Linked DNA regions of Diceros bicornis minor. The protein of the gene in region 1 binds, or shares a complex with, the protein of each later gene. Links are inferred from orthologs where the notes say so. Each region holds a gene or a part of one and is shown in the gene's direction. Other genes may lie near its edges.

Evidence for each region.
Region 2: RBM15B (region 1) and WTAP share a complex: the UniProt entries of both Homo sapiens proteins name them as parts of the WMM complex. The link is inferred for Diceros bicornis minor from reciprocal best matches to the Homo sapiens genes RBM15B and WTAP.

What each region holds. Positions count from the first base shown.
Region 1 is NC_080741.1:52,147,213-52,155,584, forward strand, and holds the start of RBM15B (putative RNA-binding protein 15B), read left to right. Parts: upstream 1-5,140; 5' UTR 5,141-7,466; coding exon 7,467-8,372. Other genes in the region: MANF (mesencephalic astrocyte-derived neurotrophic factor), read left to right, coding at 1,570-1,654, 2,401-2,528, 3,282-3,423, 4,643-4,827. UniProt on the Homo sapiens protein: RNA-binding protein that acts as a key regulator of N6-methyladenosine (m6A) methylation of RNAs, thereby regulating different processes, such as alternative splicing of mRNAs and X chromosome inactivation mediated by Xist RNA.
Region 2 is NC_080778.1:10,089,520-10,097,288, reverse strand, and holds the start of WTAP (pre-mRNA-splicing regulator WTAP), read left to right. Parts: upstream 1-4,044; 5' UTR 4,045-4,188; intron 4,189-4,364; exon of another isoform or gene 4,365-4,476; intron 4,477-7,769. UniProt on the Homo sapiens protein: Associated component of the WMM complex, a complex that mediates N6-methyladenosine (m6A) methylation of RNAs, a modification that plays a role in the efficiency of mRNA splicing and RNA processing.

The sequences.
Region 1 (8,372 bases):
ACCTATTTGAATGCTGTGTATTTGTACAGGAATTTGAGCAAAAAATGTATAGAGTGTGATGTCCAATTGGTATTCAGCCCTATAAATGTGTTTTTAACCTCTGGCATTCTGTGCTTATTTAAAATAAGAAAAGTTCTAACCATTTCTTTTATGTATTTATGTTTTAAAAAAATGATTTAAAAATGATCTTACCTGTACCAGAAAACAAAGTTAAAAAAAATTTGTACTAGTGTCCCAAGAGGTATTTTACTGTATATATTGTGCTAGCATGTTCTAAATCCAAGTAATGTGAATTTTAGATGTAAATATCTGCCATTTGATTTTTCCCCCTTTCCCCACTCCCTTGACTGCTGTGATGTGAATTAAAGATGAATACCTGACACTGACCCACTGAATTCACTGAATGGGAGCAGCACAAGTGCCCCTCTCCATCCCTGGTCGCTGGGCTCCAAGTCCTTTTAGCCCCATACAAATGTTTCTGCACTGACCACAGCCAATCTTTCCCACGTCCTGCCTTCAAGGACAGGAAGGCAAGCCTTGCACTTGAAAGGAGAGCAGCCAGAGGAAACGTCCTCCGATGCTTGTTCGCTGACCCAGAGGACTCTACTTCAGGAGGTGCTCTCAGCAGCCAACCCCCCCCCCCCCCCGCTCCCGCCACTGGGAAGCAGGAAGGGGCGGGCCAACCACCTGGGCCAGGCTTCCGGAAGTCGTGAGGAAATGCAGAACTCTTCCAAGAGTGGGGGACAAACCTCCTAAGCCCTCTTATTGCGAGGCGGGATGGTTCTGATCCCAAAGCTACGGCACCTAGCCCCGGCGCTTTCCTGGGTCTAAGACGGCAGCCCGAGGTGAGCCCTTCCGGTGGGAGGTCCTCCAGCCCAGAGCCTGCAAGTTGCCTCCGGTCAGCCGGGGGTCAAGCGAGCGGGCCCCTGAGCTGATAGGGAACTCCGGGCTTGGGCAGCAGGCCTCGCAGACGCTTCTCCCCCCGCCCACGAGATCGTTTAAAAAAAGAAAAAGGAGAGAAACCTCTTCCGAGCCTTGCCTGCGGTCGGCCGCCCTCCCTGCCTGCCCTTGGGTCGCGGGTGAGCCCAGAACCCCTGACTTTCGCGAGTCGGGGCCCTGGGCGGGAAAGTCCGCGGGGTTCTTCGCGCATGTGTGGGGCCCACAACAGCGGATGCGCGAGACAATTCAGCAGGCGCGGCCGGCGTCCGAATCCGACTCCATCCCGCATCGCCCGACTTCGTCCAAAGCCGCTGCCCCAACCCAACATGGCGGCTTTTACCGCTTCCGCCGCCTCCGCGGCCGCTTCCTGAGGACGGCCCTGATTCAATCAGCGGCCGACAACTGTCTAGGGCCGGGGGCGGTGACGCCGCCAGCCAATGGGGAAGGGCAGCGTGGAGCTGCCCGTCTGGGCTCCAAGGCGCGTGGACCAATGGGAGTGAGGCGTGTGGGAGGGTGCCCGGGGTCGCCCGCCAATGAGGAGCTACGGCGCGCGGCCGGGACCCGGAGGCTGCGCAGCGCGGCGGGCGAGGTTCACTCGGGCGGCGGCGGCGGCGGCGGCGAAGCTGGAGGATGTGGGCCGCAAGGGGGCTAGCGGTGGCGCTGGCCCTGAGCGTGCTGCCGGGCAGTTGGGCGCTGCGGCCGGGCGACTGCGAAGGTGCGGCGGGACCGGGGTCCGAGCTCTGTGGCCGGCATGGCGGCGGCGCTGAGCCCAACCAATCCACGGAGCGGCCGAGAGGCCGGGTCTGGAACGGGCGTGGGTGGCGGCGGCCGGCCCCAGCGGGGTCTGCCTGAGGAGGGCCAGACGCCGGGCCTAGAAAACATTTCGTGAGTCTAGAAAACATTGGTCCGACGCGAAAAAGTTGGGACTAGATCATGCTGAAAACTTGGCCTGAAATTGAGATAACGCCGGAGTTTTTGTCCCTTCCCGTCACTAGACAGAGACTTTCGGGAGCGGCCCTGGTCCGGATCGGCAGTCCTGAGGGCCGGCCGTGGGTACCTGGTGGGGTTGCGAGGCTGCACCTCGGGGTTCGGTGTTGTGTTTGGAAATGAGCAGCATTTGGATCGTTTTACTCTTAGGCCTCCAGTTGGTCTATTTATGAGGTCACAGTGAGTCCATCTCAAGGACACGTGTTCAGTCTCGCTTTAAACTTTATGGAAGAAGCAGGGGAGAGTTTGTGGGTCATGGGGTGATGCTCGTTCCCCGCATGCCCTGGGTGTACCAAGGGACCCCAGCAACCTGGAGCTGGGTTCTGCCCACCTGTGGGCACCTGAGAAAAATCGATGATGGAAACACTCGCCTGTCTCTGTCTTTCCTATTAAATTTGCTGACGGGTTTCCCTCCTGGTGGATTGGGGTGCAACTTGGTGATTGCTGAGCATCTCACTTCCCTCTCTTTTCCAGTGTGTATTTCTTATCTGGGAAGGTTTTACCAGGACCTCAAAAACAGAGATGTCACATTCTCACCAGCTTCTATTGAAAAAGAACTAGTAAAGTTCTGCCGTGAAGCAAGGGGCAAAGAGAATCGGTTGGTGAGTAGCTGGTGACCCTCCCCAGCTGGCCTTTCCTCTGCGTCAAAAGCACTGCCCACTTGTCTATTTAGGGGGCCAGCTATCTGTCAGTGAACTAATGCGGGAGTAAACTGCTTTCATATATTCTGCAGTTGTGATGTTTTTCATCCTGTTAATATTGATTAAGCACCTACTGTGTGCTCGGCACTGGGGATATCGGGAGAGAAATGACAGTCAGGCAGACAAATGATGCAGTGGGATGGGTGTCATGAAAAAAAAAAACAGACCAGGATAGTATGGTAGAGAGGGCAGGTGCTGATTTAGACAGAGTAGTCAAGAATCTATCTGAGGAAGGATCATCATTGTGGTGGGGCAAGAGCATCCCAGGAAGAGAGAACAGCCAGTGTGAGTACCCAGAGGCCAGAAGAAGATAAAATGTGCACAGGGTAGTCCAGGGCTGAACTGAGGACAAGAACTCTAATGAAACGATGGCTTTTGTAGCTTTAATTTCCCGGCAGTCTTAGTTTGTCTGTCTCTGTTTAAATGTTTGAACCCTGATGGCTCTCAAACTTATATGGTGGTTGTCAGCTCTGGGACCAAGCATGTATTAAGAGCCGGGGGTTTACACTGATAGAATCTGACTGCCAGTACAGGCAGGGCATGGGGAATTGAGGCCCTGGCAGAGAAGGAAGATGTTTTGAGATGTCAATGTGTTTTGGAGGAGATGGCTCTCGAGTGGCACCTCCTGAAAGGCATTGTCTTTTCTTGCTGCAGTGCTACTACATTGGGGCCACAGATGATGCAGCCACCAAGATCATCAATGAGGTGTCAAAGCCCCTGGCCCACCACATCCCTGTGGAGAAGATCTGTGAGAAGCTCAAGAAGAAGGACAGCCAGATCTGTGAGCTAAAGTATGGTGAGTGTGGCCAGGCCTTATTTAACACACTGTGCCCTCTCTGTGCTGAGGCATTATGGAGTTTACTTTATAGCTGGGAGAGGCGGGGGATAAACTAGAGCCGTCGTGAGTGAGTTATGTAGCATAGTAGATGGTGCTAAAAGAGGAGGTGGGGGCGCGGGGGGGATCTTGCATCATGGTGGGTAGAGGTCAGACTGGGCCTCAGACTTTGAAGGAGGTGGGAGATTAGCCAAGGGGACAGCTAATGGAAGAGCATTCCAGGCAGAGGAAATAGCGCACAGGCAGCCAGTGGCATGACAGATGGGTGGGCAAGTCACAGAGGGCCTTGCAGGTTGGTGAAGATTGGGCTTTTAGTCTGAGTGAAGTTGGGAACATTAGTTTTTGAGCAGAGAAGGGATGTTTTCTGACTCGGGTTTAACACACTTGTCCTGGCTGCAAGCTCTGAAGGCCCAGCAATCTTGATTATTTTGAAAAGAAATGCTGTATCCAAACAGGCAAGCCCAAGAGTTTTGGGCACTGCAGCATCTCTCTGGCTGAATAGGTCTCTGGTAGAAAAAACAGTGTCCAGGTCTTTAGAAGGAGTCAGGGCCAGAAATAGTTGTCCTCTTTTGCAAAATTTAAACAGCACCAACATATTTTATTGTGACCTAAGTGTCCAAGGGCCTGTGTTCCCCTACTTGTATCAAGGATGCCTGGTTTTCTGAGAGTGATCCTTGGACAGGTGCAGTTGACTCAAGGTCTCTCTGTGATCACAAATGGTCATGAGAGTAAGCTCCTGGCTCAGGGGCCTGACCAGGGCCTGTGTTGGGAAGTTGGGGCTAGGGATCTGTCTGCTCTGTCACCCTGGAGTTTTCATGCTACAGTGACTTGGCCTGTACCGTGACTATGTAAGAGGCACTTGGGAGAGTGGGAGCCACATTTCTCCTGTAAGGTTCTTTGTGGCCTTCATCCCTGTCCCTGGCGACACTGCATATCTGTGGTGGACACTGCCAGCATGAGACCAACCTTCCTGGTGAAGAGGCCCGAGCCTGTTCCCCATCTTGGGGGCAGTGGACACTAGCACACCTGGGTGTGTCTGGATATGTCTCTCCCCTCACGACCACTAGGGTTGCTTGTTTTAAGGGGTGATTTGGCTGTGCAGGGGCGATCCATCTTGGGACTATTGGGGGTCCGTGGGTGCTCCCACCCAGCTACTTACTCTCCCTTCTCTCGCCTCCAGACAAGCAGATCGACCTGAGCACAGTGGACCTGAAGAAGCTCCGAGTTAAAGAGCTAAAGAAGATCCTGGACGACTGGGGGGAGACGTGCAAAGGCTGTGCAGAGAAGTCTGACTACATCCGGAAGATTAATGAACTGATGCCTAAATATGCCCCCAAGGCAGCCAGTTCACGGACTGATTTGTAGTCTGGCCGATCCCTGCTGCACCTGAGGGAAAAAAACAGTTCATCTGTGTCTTCCCCAAACAGCATTTTTGTAATTTATTTTTTAGGCGGCTCCTGACAATGTCAGTTGTGAAGCCTGGAGCTTTCCTGATGATGCTGGCTCTACAGTGCCCCCATGGCGGGATTCACTTCGTTCTGTTGCTGGTTTACTCTAGGACTTCAAAGTGTGTCTGGGATTTTTTTATTAAAGGAAGAAAATTTGTAGCTGTCCTTGGAGAATTAAAGTGAATACTGAAATAGGGTTTTACCCCTAATGAAGATCCCACCAGTTTATGCTTTCCGGTTTACAAAGAGTTTTCAGGTATATTCACATTTGTCCCTCAACCACAGGGCTGGACCAGGGGCTGAGGCATGTGGTGTTGTGCAGGACTAGAGGGGAGCCCTGGAGAAGGCTGGGCTTGATACCCGACCCTGCAGTGACTTACCGGCAGGAGGGGCTGGAGGCTGCACAGCTGCTTGCTAGGCATAGGGGATTGAGTCTGATGTACAAGGGAGGGGCTTACCTCAGGGCTCGGTACCCACAGGACTGAGGGTGTGTTTAGTGTGGTTTTCTGGGATGATGACTTCAATAACTGTATATTGAGTGCTGTCATATTTCTAAAGATGCTCTTGGCCTGTCTACCTCCACCAGACACTGTCCAGATCTGGCCATCTACTCACTCATCTGAGTTTGTGGTCTAGTGTCAGTCCCAAGCTTCTAATGCCTAATTGGGGTTTTTGTAAGACTGGCAGGAGTCGGTTTGTACAAAGAGCCAGTGAGAGGCTGCCTTTTGCCTTTTTTACCCAAGATAAGTCTAACAGTTGAGGTCCTGATGGCTTGTCCCCAGAGTCTGATTTTTTAGTTGCTCTCTGTGGGGTTGGTGCTTGGGAAACCCAGTTGTCACCATGAGCTGTGGCTTGATGGAGATACCTCTGTTCCTTGGGCCTGCAGACACTGAAAGGAAGGAGTAAGAAGCTGTGCTTTCCAAGGAATTGGTCTGACCTCCGATCACAGCATTTGTGCAGTTCCTAAATTCAGTTTGACCATAGAAGGGGCCTCAGCTGCTGTGGAGTCCACTAATGCTTGGCAGTGGCAGTCCCACGTTTTGCACCTCTGCAGCACTGTTTCTGAGGAAAGCGAGAAAGTTGAGCCACTTCTCTGGCCAAGACGATCTGAAAAGCACAGTGTCTGTCCTAAGCCCCTGAAAGGTGCTGGGAAAATCCATGGCTGGAGCCAGAAGTCTTAGGAGATGGAGCTGTCTCAGCTTACCACCCTAATCTGTGATCCGGTGGCCTCCGTGCCCTCCAGGCCGCATTGAACAGAGGAACAGGGAAAACAGCCCAACTACTAAGCTCTAGGGCTGACCCCCAAGGTTATCTGAAGAGGTTAACTCCCTTTCTGGAAGCAGATTTCAGGAGGTCGTGCAGTGTTATAGGTGTTCCTTCCAAGACCTCTCCCCTCGCACCTGCCTGAGTTGCTCCAGGAGCTGCTTTATGGTTGTGGGAGGAACTGTGGTGCACTCTTCCCCACCCCATGGTTTCTGTGGCTGATGCTGGGTCAAGTTCTCCGATGCCTCTAGCAACTCTCCCTGAAGAATGAAAGCTTCCTCAAGGGGCTTGGGCCCCTGGACAGGATTCCCCCTCACCTCGAGAGAAGAGGTCCTGCCCCTGGAGGTGGATAGGAGGGCACTGGGCAGCGAAAGGTAAGTGTGTCAAGCTGTGGTAGCTACTGGGTTTGGCCATCTGTTCGCCCCTGGCTCCATGGCCCTGCCGTTACGGCCCGCCGTCTACTCGGATGCCCACAGCATAGTGGCTCAGTGGCGCCAAGGAGCTTATTCCCATCCGTAAACTGCAGATTGGTTCTCGGGTCTCTCTTCCTGGGCCCAGACAGGTATCGTCTTCTGCATGCATAGTCATGGTCATGGCCTTTCGGGGGACCGATGCAGGTGAACCTGAACGCAGAGAATGCCCGGACGGGGCCTAGGGAGCAGGGTTCTTCTGTCCTCGGGGTTGTCAACTCCGGACTCCAGTCAAGAGATGCTGTGGCGGGGAGATGGGAGCCACCCAAGCCTAGTCCTAGTCCTAGTCCTTTTACACCACATAAGAGGCCGCTGGGTCAAGACCCAGCACCTGGGCGCCCAAGGAGGTTGCCTGCCACTCCTGCTCCAATCAGCACGGGCCCCAGCCAGGAGCGGCTGGCCTAGGTCCTGCCTCGCCTGCTAGGGTCGTGGGCAGTGCGAGCCAGCCCGGATCTCGCGTGGAATCCCATCTCTCCTCGTAGCCGCGGCCGCGCGGTGGCGACAAAGCTCACTGCCCGGCTGCGCTTGCCCGGCTGCGCTTGCCCGCCTGCCATGGAGTCACGTGGCGTGGGGCGGCGCAGCCCGATGACGTACGCTCAGCGTAGCTCTCGCCCCGCCCGCCTCGAGGTCACGTGGCGCGGCCGGCGCAGCTTGATAGCGCGACGCCCAGCCCCTGGGCGCCGCTGCTGCCCCGCCCCGCCGTCACCGCCGCACCGAGTCCTTTTGTCCAAGATGGCGGCGCCGGGGGCGCCGCTTCTTCGGCCGCCGCTGCCGCCGTTCTGAGGGGCCTGCGGGCCGCCCGCCCGCCCGCCGCGCCGGCGCCATGAAGAGGCAGAGCGAGCGAGACTCGAGCCCGAGCGGGCGCGGCTCGTCATCTTCGGCCAAGCGGCCGCGGGAGCGCGAACGGGAGGCGGAGGCGGGCGGGCGGCGGGCAGCGCACAAGGCCTCGGGCGGCGCCAAGCACCCCGTACCGACGCGGGGTCGCGACAAACCCCGCGGTAGCGGGGGCGGCGGGGGTGGGCATCGCGACGGCCGCGGGGCCGGGGACGCGAATCACCGTGCGAGCAGCGGCCGCTCCTCGGGCTCAGGCGCCGGCGGCGGGGGACGCGGGGGCAAGGCCTCGGGGGACCCGGGCGCCTCAGGCGCTTCGCCCCGCGCATCCCCATTGCCGCCACCTCCGCCGCCTCCCGGAGCCGAGCCCGCGGGTCCCGGCTCGTCGGCGGCCGCGCCCGAGTACAAGACGCTGCTCATCAGCAGCCTGAGCCCCGCGTTGCCCGCCGAGCACCTCGAGGACCGGCTCTTCCACCAGTTCAAGCGCTTCGGCGAGATCAGCCTGCGCCTGTCGCACACGCCTGAGCTGGGCCGCGTGGCCTACGTGAACTTCCGGCACCCGCAGGACGCGCGCGAGGCCCGCCAGCACGCCCTGGCCCGCCAGCTGCTGCTCTACGACCGCCCGCTCAAAGTGGAGCCCGTGTACCTGCGCGGCGGCGGCGGCGGCGGTGGCGGCGCCGGTGGCGGGAGCAGCCGGCGAAGCAGCAGCAGCAGCGCCGCCGCCTCCACGCCGCCCCCCGGGCCGCCCGCGCCCGCCGACCCGTTGGGCTACCTGCCGCTGCACGGCGGCTACCAGTACAAGCAGCGCTCGCTATCCCCTGTAGCTGCTCCGCCACTGCGGGAGCCCCGCGCCCGCCACGCCGCTGCAGCCTTTGCCCTGGATGCCGCCGCTGCCGCC
Region 2 (7,769 bases), on another chromosome or scaffold:
ATTGGCCCTGGGCTAACATCCATGCCCATCTTCCTCCACTTTATATGTGGGATGCCTGTCACAGCATGGCTTGATAAGCGGTGTGCAGGTCCACACCTGGGATCCGAACCAGTGAACGCTGGACCACCGAAGTGGAGTTCGTGACCTTAACCACTATACCACCAGGCCAGCCCCTAGAGTCATAGATTTTTATCTATTTGGTATTTACAATCAATTGTAGTCATTTTCTTTTTGATGCTGAAATGGCCCTAAATTTGGCCTATAGGAGATCCCTCAAGCTGGCTCCTGTGTCTTTTTCAAATTTACTTTTGAAGACTATTTACTTTCGAATATACAAATGGACATGGCCAGACCACATATAAAAATAGAATTTTGACCCACAACCTGCAGCAACCTGCCCAGGAAACCAGCCCCCTCATCTATAATAACCAGCCCAGGAAGTTAGCCTGCTATAAGTCAAACCTGGAGGAAGTCAGACTATCGCAAGTAACAATCCAGGAAACTAAACAATACCTTCTGTAACAATCAGCTGAAAATGGCCAGGACTTGATTAAAAAGTGACAGCTTCCCTAATGTTTGTCCCCTCTTCCAACTTAGAACCAACCAGAGAAAACCAAATACACACCTAACCAATCACACAGATGCCCCACTTCTAGTTAGCTGCCTCCAGCTTCTCGGTACCCACAGCCTCCATCAGGCACACCATTCCTTTTCCACTATGAAGCTTTCCCACTCCTCTGCCTGCCTGTGAGTCTCTGCCCAACACAAGTGATGGTGGCTGACTCCCTTGCTATAGCAAGCTCTGAATAAATAGCCTTTGCTTTTCTCATCTGGTTGGTCTTCTTTTTTTCCCACATTGAGGTATAATATATAATAATAATTTATATGAGGTATAATTTACATTACATGCATCCACTTTAGTGGTATAGTTTGATGAATTTTGACAAATGTATATACCGGGGTAACCACCACCCTAATCATGATGTAGAATATTTTCATCACCCGAAAAAGTTCCCCCATGTTCCTTTCCAGTCGATTCCTGCTCCTTTCCCCTCCTAGCCAGCACAGTTTTGATTTCTATCACTATAGGTTACATTGGTCTTTTAAGTCCTATTGACATATTTTCATTAGTCAAAGCCTTCCTTTGCATTCAGGCACAACAAAAATATCAGACTCATCTTGTCATTTCCCTGTCGCAGAACTGGAATCAGCGCTGGATCTATCTAGGAGGAAATGGAACTTGGAAACCCTGATCTGGGTGGCAAGTTTGCTCAGTGTTACTGTACCGTGATTTAAACATGCTGCTTTGCCTGAGACACTTTCGGTTTTAATAGGGCAAGTCCAGCATCCCGGGAAATCCCCTCAGTTCCTGGCAAACTGGGACAATTTGTTACCCTAGTGCTTCCTTTCAGTGCACAGAACTAGGTAATTTATTATAAAAATCTTGTGCTCAAATTGATATTTCCAATTTAAATGTATCACAGGTTCTTTCTGCACTTCCTTCATCTTATATTTGCATCTCATTTTCTCTTACACTGAAAGTCTTGTACATTATAACATTAAAATACTTGTGTTATCCTACAATATAGTTTCAAAACTACAGCACCAATATTACCATTACTTATAAACCACTGAGTGAAGCTAAAGATTCCTTTGCATTTCTTTTTTATCCTTAGAATATATCCCATCACAGATACTCTCTCAAAGTACTCTGTTCAAAAGCCCTGGTGGAAGAACTCTTTTTTCTGTGTAACAACATAGTTATGTTACCAACTTGCTTAAAGTTCATTTGTTTTAATTTGCTTTCAACTTGGGGCTTACTTTGTTTCCTTTATTATTTACTTTATGTAAAACTTTAAAAGTTCAAAGTCAGAGAATGATGCCGGCCCTGATATCAGTTACCCAAGTTGAACCCAGGATATATGGGGTTAAAAACCAAAAAGCACTCATTCTCTTTCCCTGCTTAAATTGTTAAAAGCCCAGGTGGCTTCACACTGAAGTTCTGGCTAATGACCAGTTCTTGAGGTTTGCTGTAGGGAAACTGACATCCAAAAGTTACCAAGAAGCTGAAGCTCCGCAACTCCCTTGTTCCTGGCGCTGAATCCACCATTCATCACGGAGACAGAGGACACCTGCAGCTTCCCTCATCTCCGCCAAACGCACGCAGGCTGATGGGAGGACCCTGAACTACAAAGCCACAGCTCCCCCTCTCCTATCTAAAACTTGTAAACTTTGTAATCGTTAGTTGGCAGCAGTTGCCTTCCTCTCCCCAGGGCCCAATTAGAGGTGGAGTGGGAAGACTGATCAACGGAGCCCTAAACCTCCTACTGTAGATAGGGATAACAGTTGGCCCAGTGCCAGAAGGTCTGGGATCCCCACTATACTCCCCCCCAGAAAATAATCACAGTCACAAGAGTACATTCTTTCCCACAGACTTTCCTTTAAAAACCCCAACTCCTAATGCCTCAGGAGGACTGTGGGTTTTGGCGCATGAGCCATGGCAGCCTCATTTTGCCAGCAAAATTAAACCATTTTTCTTTTCCTCGATCCCTGGTCATTGTGTTCACTGAGTCGGCTGCAGTGACAGGGTCCCGGGTTTTTCCTGCTACAAGAAGTCTTGCTATCATTTCTTTCCCCTCCACCCCTCCCCATCACCCTCTATAGGTCACATTCTTATTGTTTCTAGGATATCCTTCCAATTTCCCATATAACCTACAACTCATTCCAAAGCAACACATAAATATTGTCCTCATTCTTTCTTCATGGCTGCATTATATTCCATTGTAAGGATGCATCATGTCCAACCAGTTCCCTATTAATGGACGTTTGAGTTATTTCCAAACTTTTGTTATGACAAGTAACACTGCGACAAATAACCTTGCCTAAGTGTTGTTTCTATTTCTGGAGGTGTATTTTCAACATAAGGCTGGGGTTAGAAAAGGAATTGCAAGATACAAGAGTAAATGCACATATAATGTTAGTATCCCATAGGGCTTGAATCATTTTCCGATTCCCACCAGGAAACTTATGAACACCGTCTCTCTGGAGCCTTGTAATTTCAATGGGCATTTCCATAGTAAGGAGGATGAACAGCCTTTTACCTTTAAGGACCACTGCTATTCTTTTCTGTGAATTGTCTCTTCATGTCCTTGCCCATTTTTCTCTTCGGATTTGGGTCTTTTTCTTTTCAGTTTTTACGAGTTCCTGTGATGTAAGCTGCAAATATTTTCTTCATACTGATCTGATTTCCTGGGAATACACCATGATCCCTCTGACCATCTGGAGCATACTTTAATCTTATCCTCATAAATCATCTCATTCCGGGACACCTCCTTTGGGGATAAACAGTTTGGGTAAAGCCGGATAAAGGCAGGCCAATCAAAAGAATTACCTGACCCGTGTAGCAAGTGCAAAGAGGCTGTTATACGTTTACCAGGTAACTCCATCGTTCTTATGCAATGGTCTGGATGACACAAAGTCTTGTGTAGGGCAGTATATTCAAATTACAAAACTTATTTTAATGGGTTCATTAAAACCTCCCAGGGTTCGCCTTCGCCTCGCTTCCGAGTTAGCAAGGTGCCCCTAGCACAACCTCCATCTGCCAGACAATAGCTCCTCGGTTTCGCCTCGAGATGTCAAGGCAGGGACGAACCAAGCGGCCAGGAGGCTGCACTTCACGACGGAAGAGGGAGCATTGGTTTCTAAGAGATGAAAATTTAAACAGGGAAGCTGACCGAAGCCTAAACCGACCCAGTCCCCGCCCACGGCCCCGCTCCCGGGGTTGCACCTGGCCCACCGGCGCGCGGAGGCATCACAGACGGACGCTGCACCGCAGAGGCCAATCACACGCCACCTTCGCCCAGATTCCTCCGCCAGAGGCCGCGCCGCAGCCGCAGGTGGCCCGGCGAGCGCTTCCCCTCCGCGCCGCCAATCGCGACCCCCGCCGCCCTTCCCGTGATGCCCCGCAGCTGACCTCCGACCTCGCGGCCCAGCCTTCCCGGCGGCCCGCTTCCCTCCCCGCCCTGCCGAGCTTGCGGCGCCCCGGAGGCCGCGGGGCGTGCCACCAAGACGTAGCTCCTCCCTGGGCGCCTCGAGGCGCCGGCCGGGCGCGGTCCTTTCGCCTTCCTCCCCGCGGCGGGGCCCTGCGGTGGCCGGGTAGTGCGGCCGCTTCTGGGAGGCGACTCGTCGGTGAGTGGGCCGGAGCGAACATGGCGGGGCGGAGACGCGGACGGCGGGCGGGTGGGGCGGGGCGTGGCGGCGGGAGGAGCGGGAAGGGGGTGGGGCGGCGGGGCCTCGCTTCCTCCCTGAGCGCCATTTTGTGGCAGCGAGACCCGCAAATAAAGGGGATTGTCGGGGCTGCGGCGGGAGGAGGCGCGCGGGGGCCGGCGGAGCGCGGTCGGGCGGCCTGGGCGGCAGGGGCAGCGCGGCCTCGGCCTATGTGACTGAGGGGCGCCGGCGCGGCCTCCGTCCGGAGAGGTAGGTGTGGAGCGGCCGCGAGGACCTCCGGGTCCCAAGGGCTGAGGTGCGGCCGCCCCGGCTCGGGAAGGGGTGGACAGAGCGCCGAGGGCGGCTCGGGGCTCCCGGGCCCCCGGCCCCCTGGCCCCCTGTTAGCCGCGCCGCCTGCCCTCTTGCGGGGACGCTTCCGCCGCCCCGAGCCCGTCTTACCTCCGTTCTGCGTCGCCGGGGGCGAGGTGAGCGCTCCCGCGGGCCGGCGAGCCCGGGAGGCCGCCCCCTCGGTGGCGTCCTGTCCCCGCGTCGGTGTCGCCCCCTCCCACCCCCGCGGCCGGATCCGGGGACTGGCGGTGCTGACGAGTTGAGCCAGGGAAGGGAAGCGGCGCTAGTTGCCCAGATTTCACGTCGCGCAGTTGGGTATGACTGCAGCTGCGTTCTCCCGGAGACTTCCATTTTTAAATGGTTGTATGCGTTCTGCGTAAAAAAAGAATTTCTTTTTCAATTACTTCGAGATATTCGTGAGATTTTAAAGTCTCATCTTGCATCCCTGTAAGTCTGTTACTAGTTGATTTTTTTAAAACCATGTTTCATGAGTCAGTAGGGAACACACAGTGGAAAAGTCCAAGTTCTTGTTTTGATGAAGTCAGTTGGATATTTGATCCCAAAGGACTATGTTAAAATCTTAAAAAACAGTGCTTATAAAGTAAAAAAACGATTCTTTTGCCCGAGGTAGAGAAGTATTTTCATGAGCGTGTTACGGTCGTGAGTTGTCCGTCTGACGGTTTTTCATTTCTTAGAATTTAGCTAATTCCATTGCTGAGGAAGGTAAATGGAAGTCACAGGTCTTATCACCACAAGTTCTACCCGTTTTATGATTTTTAAACTTTGACAATTAAGTTTTCTGTAATAGATAAATATATTGTAGACGTTTAAAACCCCGTCAGAAAAAACCATGTGTGAAAATCTTTTCAAGATGGCTAAATTTTATTTATTTACTCGTTATTCAGTAGCATGTGCTTAGGCAAATTGGGGAAAGAAATTGCAGTCCACGAGGTGGCTTGTGATAAGGAGGATGAGGTTAAATTTTAAGGGTTTGGCTGAGTGTATTTCTAGACGTTTTTTTTTAGGTCTTACATTGTCTTAGCAGATAGCTATAGCTAAGTGATCGGTATTTTCACTTCTCATTGGTGGAACTTAGGCAAACTACCCAAATTTCTAAGTCCCAACGGACGAAAGTAATAATAAAAGTGTGTGCCAGGCACTAATTTATAGAACTTCATAATACCTAGATTTCCTGATTAAATTTTGAGTCAAGCTTGCTCAAAATATTTTTGTGTATTATTTGTTAGAAATGACTTGGTATATATGATGTAGAAAATCTGTAGCAGCCCTGTCATGTAGAGATGAGAGTTGTGATAATTATATTTGTACAGTACATTACAGCTTTCAAAGTCCCTTACAGTCTTGTATGTTTGTAGTATAGAATCCCCTTGAAAATATTCTTTACTTAGCTGTTTTGATCATTTTCATGGAACTGTATATTATCTGGCTCTTGAAAAAAATTTTTTTCTTGCTCTTAAAAATTTTCTATTGGCAGGACCTGTAGCCAAACAAGACCTAGGTAGTATTTCATTTTATTCTTGTTTTTATTTTGCAAATTATCTCCAACTTTTTCTGCCTCTAAATATTTTCTATTACTAAGCTTATCAGCGAAAAGCTTTTCAGTAACAGTATATGCTATTGTGTATTAAGATGCATCGGACTAGAACTCCGTGCCATAAATAAATATTCTTCCTTGAAAATGTTGGGTGGAATTTAATCTTTCCTAAATGCACGTTAAAATTATCTTTTATGTTGATGTTAGTATTTTATTTGAAAAGTCCTTTGTTTGTATAGCATTTTTATGGCACTTAAAGCATTGAGATTTACTGCACTGTGTGAGGCAGGCAAAATTGGTATCCTCTTTTGGCTGACTGGGAGACTGCAGCCCAGAGTTAAATGACTTAAGACCGCGTGACTGATGTACAAGAGTCAGGAAAGGTAGTCTTCCAATTCCCAACTGGTACCGTTTCTACCATAGTGTCAGATTATTAGCTTTTTGTGTTCAGTTATGATTGGTTTCGGCGAGGTACGTGCTTTCTTACTGAAGTTGTGTTCGCTGGTGCTTGCCCCTCTTAGGATCATAATGCTAAGAGCCAGGGGCGTATTGGGATCTGGGGTGCTAGGCACCCAGCCAACCAAAACTGAATTCTCCATCATAAACTGTTTCTCATTGTTAAGGCATCAAGAGTAGATGATGGTTCTGATGTTCTAAACTTGAGAGCTATATTATCTCTGAATTATCCACATGAATAACTGAAACCTTTACATAAGTTGAAAACCATGTGTTAACCAATCTTAAACCAGGTAGCCAAATTGGCCAATTTTGACTTTTTTCTATTTTGCTTTTCTGCATTCTCTACTTTGGCTAGGCTTAATCCTTATGAGGATGAGGGAATGGGAGAATTATCGATCTTCATCAGTTACCAACTTTTGAGAGGCACTGAATTTGGGGTCCTAACCCCCAATTTATTAATTACCAGCTGTTTTAACCTGAGCTAATCATCCAATGACTCCTAATCATTTTCACCTTTGGAAAATAGACTAATTTTGACTTTGAAAAGTTATTATAAATGACTCATAGTACTGAGTATATATTCATTTTTTTTTTCCTTCAAGATTCAGGGTTCAACTCCAAAGGATATTTCAGTCATTCTGTTTTTCTGATATGAAAATAGATGATCCCAAGACCATGGAATATCCATTGTCTTTATGTATCTAGACTTGACATTAGATAGTTATTGTGCTTGTCAGTTGTGCTGAAAAAATTGCCTTGGGGAATAATAAATTTCTTGTCACATTCATGCAGTGTGAAAGACAAAATTGAAAACCAGGTTCTATTTTTGACTAAATAGTTGAATGTTGATCCTTTTAAATTTTAAACCTTTTCTGATTTGCCTTTTGCCTGACTGTCCATTTAACTATTGTGGCATATCTTGGACTCTCAAAGACTGAGTTTTCATCAGCTAAAGATAAGGAAGGAATTTCTTTCTAAGTGCTTATACTTTGAATTCCCCTGTCACATATGCCATAATATGTGGAATGACCTGTGACTGGGAGAGTCAACATACGAAATGCAAACATTTATACAAAACCTGTATTTGTCTCTGACTTACGTTACAAATTTAGAAATGTATTTTTATAAGGAAAATATGGATATTCTCTAAGCAGTGTGTAATTAACATCTTTAAACTTCTTAAAAGGAAAGAGAACGTAAG